Cricetulus griseus: one gene and its partner. The protein of the gene in region 1 interacts with the protein of each later gene in a pairwise test. Links are inferred from orthologs where the notes say so. Each region holds a gene or a part of one and is shown in the gene's direction. Other genes may lie near its edges.

Region 1 (3,649 bases):
AGGCTGTCCTGGCACTCGCTCTGGAGACCAGGCTGGTCTCGAACTCACAGAGATCCACCTGCCTCTGCCTCCTGAGTGCTGGGATTAAAGGCATGCGCCACCAACGCCGGCATGAGGACCAACGTCCGGCCCCATATTTGAAAACAGTTTTATCCTCTTTTCCAGAATATTCAGTTGTCATGGGTCCTTACTAACAGTCTCAAACAAATCCCTGTGTAGTGTAGTCCCTGGCCCAGACTGGCACTGTGTCCGCTGACCTAACCATGAACACCCTTGTATCCATCAGCTCACAGCCCTGGGGACTCTTCATGGGCTCAGTGCCGTCAGAGGCCTCCCTCCAGGTGTTCACACCCTAGGACTCCTGTCCTCCTCCCCGTCCCCCAGGACAGGGCTGCGCTGTACTGACCTCTCCAGGTTCTTCTGGACATTAGTCTCCTTGTGTGACTATTGGGAAGCTCATGCTCACCCTGGTTATGCCAAGTGTCTTCTCCTGGCTGAACACTTCCTACCTACAACTGGCCTCTGTTAGAGTAGGGCTCATGGCCGGCCCCAGGGCTCTGACCTTCTTGGGCATCCTGCTGTCAGGGGGTGGGCTCTAGCTTCCCTGCTGAGCTTTTGAGTCTGGCCATTTCCCCACTCATGGCCCCTCCCTCTGTCCCCATGCTGGCCAGGCTATGCCCGTTCATTTAGCCCTGCTAGCCCTTCTCCTGTTGCTTGGCTTACACAGCTTTGCCTTCCAGGCTGGCACAGTCACGGACGAACCCTCAAGTCCTGGACACTGGGCTGTCCACACAGGACATCCATTATGCGCAGTGCTTATCGCCCACCGACTGGGACAAGCCTGACGGCAGTGGCATCGATCGAGATGACCTCTTCAGCTTCTGAGGGCCTAGGACTGACTGGCAGGACACAACTGGCCTTGACATGTGATGGACCAAAAGCCACCTACAGCAGAGCAGCCATCACAAGGAGCTGATGGCAAAGCCTGCGGACAAGAGCTGCACAGTCAGGCAGGGAGGGAGGGCAAGAAGAGCCTGCAGTGTCCAGTCAGTGACTCCTGGGTTATGCTTGGAAACCAGGTTTGCATCAGGCGCTCATGATGTATGCAGGGCAGGGCAGGGCAGGGCAGGGCAGGGCCTGGCCTCCTGGTCTCTTTCCTGGAGCCAGTGCCCCCTCCTGTGGCTGTCAAGACAGTGACCAAAGCATTCCGTGTTCCTTCTCTCTGGGGCATCCTTACTCCTCAAGCAGTGAGAGCCTATTATTTGTGCACTGGAGGGGACATGGCCTTCAGGGAAGCTGGGATCCTCAAATTCTGCTTCTTTGGGGCCTGGTAGCTAAGGCCCTCCGAGAGGCAGCACCTGACCAAAGACACATAGCTCTGCACTTTATCTCCCATAATGGACATGGTTTGAGGTCCTTGATGGTGCTGTGGGAGAGCTTGCCTCCTGCCCTCCCTCCACAGGAGGGCCACAGTCCCTGAGGTGATCTGTATAGTGCTAGGACCTAGTGTACCAGCTGCCCAGACTCCCAGAGTCTTACCACAACCGCAGGGATCACCTCTGTTCTGTTTTGTCTGTGTGTCCTGTGTGCCCCCACCTTCTGCCTCTCCATAATTCCTGGAATGATACCAAAGCCTAGCACTAGGCTGTGGCGGGATACTTTTCATTCATTTTACAGGTAAGGAAACTGAGGCAACACATGTCGGGGATGGAGATGAGAATAGAACCCAGATCTGATACCAAAGCTGCTGTTTGTACCGCCAACTTCTCACAGCCCACGTCTCCTTTCTCTCTAGCTTTGTTGTCCTCCCAGGAACCAAAAAGCCCCAGCTATTTTCTGACCAAAATGTGTTTCATAACAAACCATCTGGTGCCTTTCCACACAGCGCTGGCGTGGGCCTCCATGCCCTGCTAACTGCCACACTGCTTCCGGGAAGACATGTTTTGAAGTCTTTTGATTCCATGGGTTAAATGGAATCCTCCAGAAGCATCTCGCTGTCCCTTCCTGACACTGCAGCCCCAGTAGTCCCCCTACCCCACCCAGTGGCCAGGCAGTTTAGTGGTGAGCTGTCCTTAGTCTGGCTGGTCTCATGGGCTCTGGCATCCTGAATCTCAGCCAAGCCACAAGCATCTTTTCATTGCTAGGAGCCCCCAGTGGCTGGGCTTGTGAGAGCAGGTCTCAGTAGGCCCAGGAAAAGCACACCACTGTGACTTAAAGTTCCCAGCTCTTATTGAGTTGCTGAGTCAGACCCTTGCCTTGGGGAGGGTACTTGGAGAACCCTCCCTGGAATCAGGGTAGCTCCTTTTCCCCAACCAGCTCCAGGGTCCTGAGTGTGAGGGGCTGCCATGGTGTTGGGTGGTGCTGTGTTCTTGACAGGCTGTGCCTGCTGGCAAGGCAGCTCTAAGAAAGAAACAATAAATGTTCCCATTTTTTAAGTGTAAGCATCACTCGGTGTTGCTGGTGATGAGGGGCAGTGTCATAGCTCCTGCCCTTTGATGATATGTGTCAAAAGACTGAGGTATACCACATGCCCTTGTGGCACCAGAATAGAGGGTGATGGCAGGTTCCCTGCTGATGAGCCAGCAGGGTACCTTTCTCTGCAACTGTCACTGTGTGGAAGGTCACCAGTGGTCCAGTGTGTCGGCACTGACAGTGTTTCTAACCTTACATCCTGGTCGATGCTGAGTGTGTGAGATGTGAGTGTTCCCATGTGCACCCCTCCCCAGGGACAGTATTCCCACGACTCTCCAATGACTCGGGCTTGCGGGCTTGCTTACTCATGATCTGGTCCTGAGCTCAGTGCTAAGGATGACATTGCCTAGGTGAATTCAGGTTGTATGGCTTTGTGTGAAGGGGGCAGAGATAGAGGATGGGGATCAGTGATTTAAGAGACCCAAAGTCCAGCTATGGCCCTGGGTTAATTACCTGCTTCCCTGAGCCTTGGTTTTCCTGTCTGTAGACAGGGCACAGCAGACTCCTGTGCCTGTGTCCCTGGATTTTGAGACTATTGACCATTGTCATGTTATTGGTAGTTCAGACCTCTGGTGGCTTACAGGTTATCTCAGAGCAAAAGGTCATTTGGATCTAATGTGTAAAGTCCCAGTGGACTCAGACAGTGAGTACCACTCTTAGTGCACTTTCTGCGTGCCAGCTGACTAAGAAAAGTCATGGAGAGCCCAGATGCCATTCAGTTCCTACTGCTGAGGGCACTGAGCTTAGCTAGGAAGGTAGCCCTGTCCTGAGTGCCTGGTAAGGCCACAGCCCTGTCTCATATCCCTAGCCCTCATCCTGTCATGTAGCAATTTCCCAAGAGATGGTTATAATCCAGCTGCTCGTGTCTTGCCCAGACTCACAGTGACCATTCCAGCAAGGCTGCATTCCTCAAGTTCCATGGACTTCTGTCTGGGGACTCCCCAGCCACTGCTCCTTCCTGTGGCTTGTGGGGGTCTGGGGCATTTATGCAATAGTCCTATTTCAAGTGTCCAGAGGCAGAGCCTTTTGATGCCAGCCGACAAGCAGACTCCCTGTGAGGCCCAAGTGGATCAGAGAGGACTAAAGAATTCTTTCTTCTTTCCCCCATAATTTGAAAAGACACTCAACAAGCTCATCCTTCCATTTAAATTTGGCCAACGCCTTTAGTCTCCGGATG
Region 2 (3,649 bases), on another chromosome or scaffold:
CCCCACCCCCACTCTTGGCCAGCTCTGCTTCTTCTCAGCCTCACTTGCAATTCCTGACTTCTCCCTTTGCCTGTCCCCGATTCCACATGGCCTATCACAGGTGACATTGACCAAAGTAGCAAGAGCAGGCTCCCTTGGGACCTGGCACCTAGCATGGTTATATTTTCTTTTATTTGGCTCTTGCCGCCCTGGGTTCTTTCTGTGCCTACAGCTCAGCCTGATCCCCAGAATCAACTTTATCTCCATTGCCCTCTACAGCAATGACTTCAGCAGGGCTGTGGCTGAGGCATACTTGTCCTTCTTCCATTTCGAAGGCCAGAGCCTGGACCGAGCCCTCCGGTAAGGCCTTCTGGCCCTCAGAGGAAGCAGGAGTTGGGTGTGTGGGGTGGTTGGGGACAGCTGCAGGGCAGTGGTCCCAAGCTCCCGGGGATGTGGCTCTGCTTAATCCTGACTTTTTTGGGCAGGGGGTTTCTCCAGGCCCTGGTGCTCAGTGGAGAGACTCAGGAACGGGAACGAATTCTCTACCAGTTTTCCAAACGCTTCCATTACTGCAATCCTGGGGCCTTCCCCTCAGTAGGTATGGAGGGTGGGCCCAGGGGTGGGGCAGAAGGACTTTGGGGTGGCATAAAAATAACCCTATTTACTTGGGGTTCATTGGTCAGCAGCTGCTGGAGTGTGTTGGGGCTATAGAGAAATGGGAGGAGTCACCCTTAGTGTGGGCAGAAGCCACAAAAGTCAGATTCCAATGAACCTTGTGCTTGGCCTCTCTTGGGGACAGATTCTATACACACTTTGACTTGTGCCATCATGCTTCTTAACACAGACCTGCATGGACAGGTAAGGAGGGGAGAGCATCTAGAGAGCTGATGTGGGGGTCTGTGGCATGGTGAGGAGGGGAAGAATGGACCAAAGGCTGGGAATATGGCAGGGCAGGGCCTTGGAGTTCCCCAGTGACCACCTAGGGGTATATTCCATCAGGGTGGGATGTTCAAACTGTCTCGCTTCTCCATGGCCACAGAACATTGGAAAGAGCATGAGCTGCCAGGAATTCATAACCAACCTGAATGGGCTGCAGGATGGCAGGAACTTCCCCAAGGAGCTGCTGAAGGTAAGGCGCCTTCCAAAGCCAGGACCCTCCCTGCTTCTTGGTCTGCAGCCTGGAACTCTAGTTCCAAGAGGAAAGTAGAGCTCAGACATGGCTTGGAGGAGAGGTCCTTATGAGGACAAGGGTTGCCTGTGTGTCCCTGTCTGGGAGTGCTGGTGATGTCTTGGGATTTGACAGCTGTGCAAATTGACATCCCTGGACGTACAGAATCATACTTTATGCATCTGAAAATGTTCTGTTACCTTCTCAGGGGATTGTTACCCCTTTGAAGTCTGCAAGTGCAGGAGTACTGAACGAATTTATGAGACACAAAGTTCCACGTAAGGCAAATCCTGGTCTCAGGTTTGGGAGCTGGGTGATCTTAGTTTGAATTATGTCTTGAGTTCTGCCCCTTGGTCAACTCAAGCTGCTTCTGGGAGAAATGATCATCTCACAATGTTATTACCAAGATCAAAGCTGTCAAGTGTCATGCACTATGCCTGGCTCACACACACTTCATACACAATTGGACCGCTGGCTTTTTCATCTACTTAGTGGTCATTTATTGAACATTTTCTGTGTACTAAGTACCTTGCCAGGAACATCAAGGACTGTAAAAGCAAGCCTATGAATTACTTCCAAGTTCTAACCCAGCATCATTCATTCATCTACCAATTATGCATTGTGTGAGTGTTGTTCAGTCAAGTTCCTTCTCTATCAGATACCCCTGGACAGGATAGTGTGTGAGTGAGTCATATTCTCTCTCAAAAGACTAGTTTAGAATTTACTAAGTGCAGGGCAGAGCCTTGGCTACTTTGATATCTTTATGTCTCCAGTATCCAGCACAGGAATGGAAGGGTGGACAGATGGATAAATGGGTCATGAATGCTTGCCTGCTCAGGAGAAGGGCAACTATGATGGGAGTAGAGGGACAAGGTGTTACCTATACCCATAGATGTCTGCCAACAAAATGAACGTAGGTACCACAGACCCTCCATTCATCTGTATGCTTCTATTCCAGGCCCTCTACTGGTCCATCCGAAGTGAGAAACTTGAGTGGGCTGTGTAAGTGAGCACTCCTCTTTCCCTGGGCTTCTTGCGCTGCATCCCTGCCTCTGAGCCTGTCTCCCCACTGTTGCCCACCTGAGAACTGGAGAAGTTCGGGGGCCTACACAGTTCTCCTGAGTGGGGTAATGCCAGAGGCAGAAGACTAGGCCAGGTGGGGTACAGAGGAACTTGGGAAATACTGGAGAAGCCAGAGCTGGTGAAGGTACAGCAGTGTTTCCAGGGGTTTCCAGCTTTTAATGAGATTTTCTTCGTCTTCTTCGTCTTCTTCATCGTCTTCATCGTCTTCTTCTTCTTCTTCTCCTTCTTCTCCTTCTTCTTCTTCTTCTTCTTCTTCTTCTTCTTCTTCTTCTTCTTCTTCTTCTTCTTCTTCTTCTTCGTCTTCTTCTTCTTCGTCTTCTTCTGTTTTTTGTTTTTCGAGACAGGGTTTCTCTGTGTAGCTTTGGAGCCTATCCTGGCACTCGCTCTAGAGAGCAGGCTGGCCTCGAACTCACAGAGATCTGCCTGCCTCTGCCTCCTGAGTGCTGGGCTTAAAGACGTGCACCACCAACACCCAGCTGAGATTTTCTTTGAGGGGGTTCCTATTATATTCCTCCCCAGTAAGAGAAGGTGTTGAGTCCCCAAGAGGCAGAGGGTACTTGTCCCACCAGCATTCCCATCCTGGTTCTCTGCCATCCAGAGATGAAGAGGATGCAGCCAGACCTGAGAAGGACCAGCCCTCTCCTTCAGCTGGCAAGATAAGCAGCCCCTTCCTCCAGATGGCTCAGGACCCCACAGTGCCCACCTATAAGCAGGGCATCCTGGCTCGGAAGATGCATCACGATGCTGATGGCAAGAAGAGTGAGTGTCTGGTGCCTGGGAACAAAGGTGTATGTAGGGAGAGCTCCACTTAGGGACCGGGCCCTGTGTTGTGGTACAGAGATGAACAAGCAACTTGTGTTTCTTTCCTGAATGTGAACTAAATGCTAAGATAAAACGAATCCCATGGTAAGGCAAAGGCTAGACAAGCACATTAGTGTCTCCGGGGTCTCTGGTGAAGGTGAAAGGAGGGCTGTGTAGAGTATGGAGGCAGAGGAGGGAGAGGTATTTAGGGTTGGAGAACTAGCTACAGGGACAGGCATAGGGAGGTTCTGACAAATGATGGCATCTGAATGGAACCTTGTCTGAATTTTTGCATTGTCTGAGCACATCCATTCCAGAGCAAAGAGTACTGCAGAATCCACTCAGAAAAGGATATATTGCAAGGATAAAATCTGTCCTAATCGACATTTGGGACTCACTCCCAGGGCAGTTGAAAGCTCTTGGCCAAGGAAGCTGCCTGACCAGAGCAGAGATCGCTGCAATAGAACCACGGGTTAAACACTATGTGGTGGCCAACACTGTCCTGAGTGGGACTCGACGGATAACCATAGGAAATCAGGCCTCCCTCTGGCCAAGTAGCTTAGAACAGGTTTTGCTCTACAAGGCCAGGATGAGGAAATTAGGAAGAGAGAGAAAGGG

Evidence for each region.
Region 2: the proteins of Ldlrap1 (region 1) and Psd4 interact in binary tests that used the Homo sapiens proteins (3 or more experiments, as listed by UniProt). The two-hybrid records come from large-scale screens. The link is inferred for Cricetulus griseus from reciprocal best matches to the Homo sapiens genes LDLRAP1 and PSD4.

Annotation. Positions count from the first base shown.
Region 1 is NC_048595.1:18,544,346-18,547,994, forward strand, and holds part of Ldlrap1 (low density lipoprotein receptor adapter protein 1), read left to right. Parts: intron 1-740; coding exon 741-885; 3' UTR 886-3,649. UniProt on the Homo sapiens protein: Adapter protein (clathrin-associated sorting protein (CLASP)) required for efficient endocytosis of the LDL receptor (LDLR) in polarized cells such as hepatocytes and lymphocytes, but not in non-polarized cells (fibroblasts).
Region 2 is NC_048599.1:135,738,277-135,741,925, forward strand, and holds part of Psd4 (PH and SEC7 domain-containing protein 4), read left to right. Parts: intron 1-258; coding exon 259-339; intron 340-464; coding exon 465-577; intron 578-778; coding exon 779-837; intron 838-1,018; coding exon 1,019-1,108; intron 1,109-2,105; coding exon 2,106-2,149; intron 2,150-2,828; coding exon 2,829-2,989; intron 2,990-3,649. UniProt on the Homo sapiens protein: Guanine nucleotide exchange factor for ARF6 and ARL14/ARF7. Through ARL14 activation, controls the movement of MHC class II-containing vesicles along the actin cytoskeleton in dendritic cells. Involved in membrane recycling.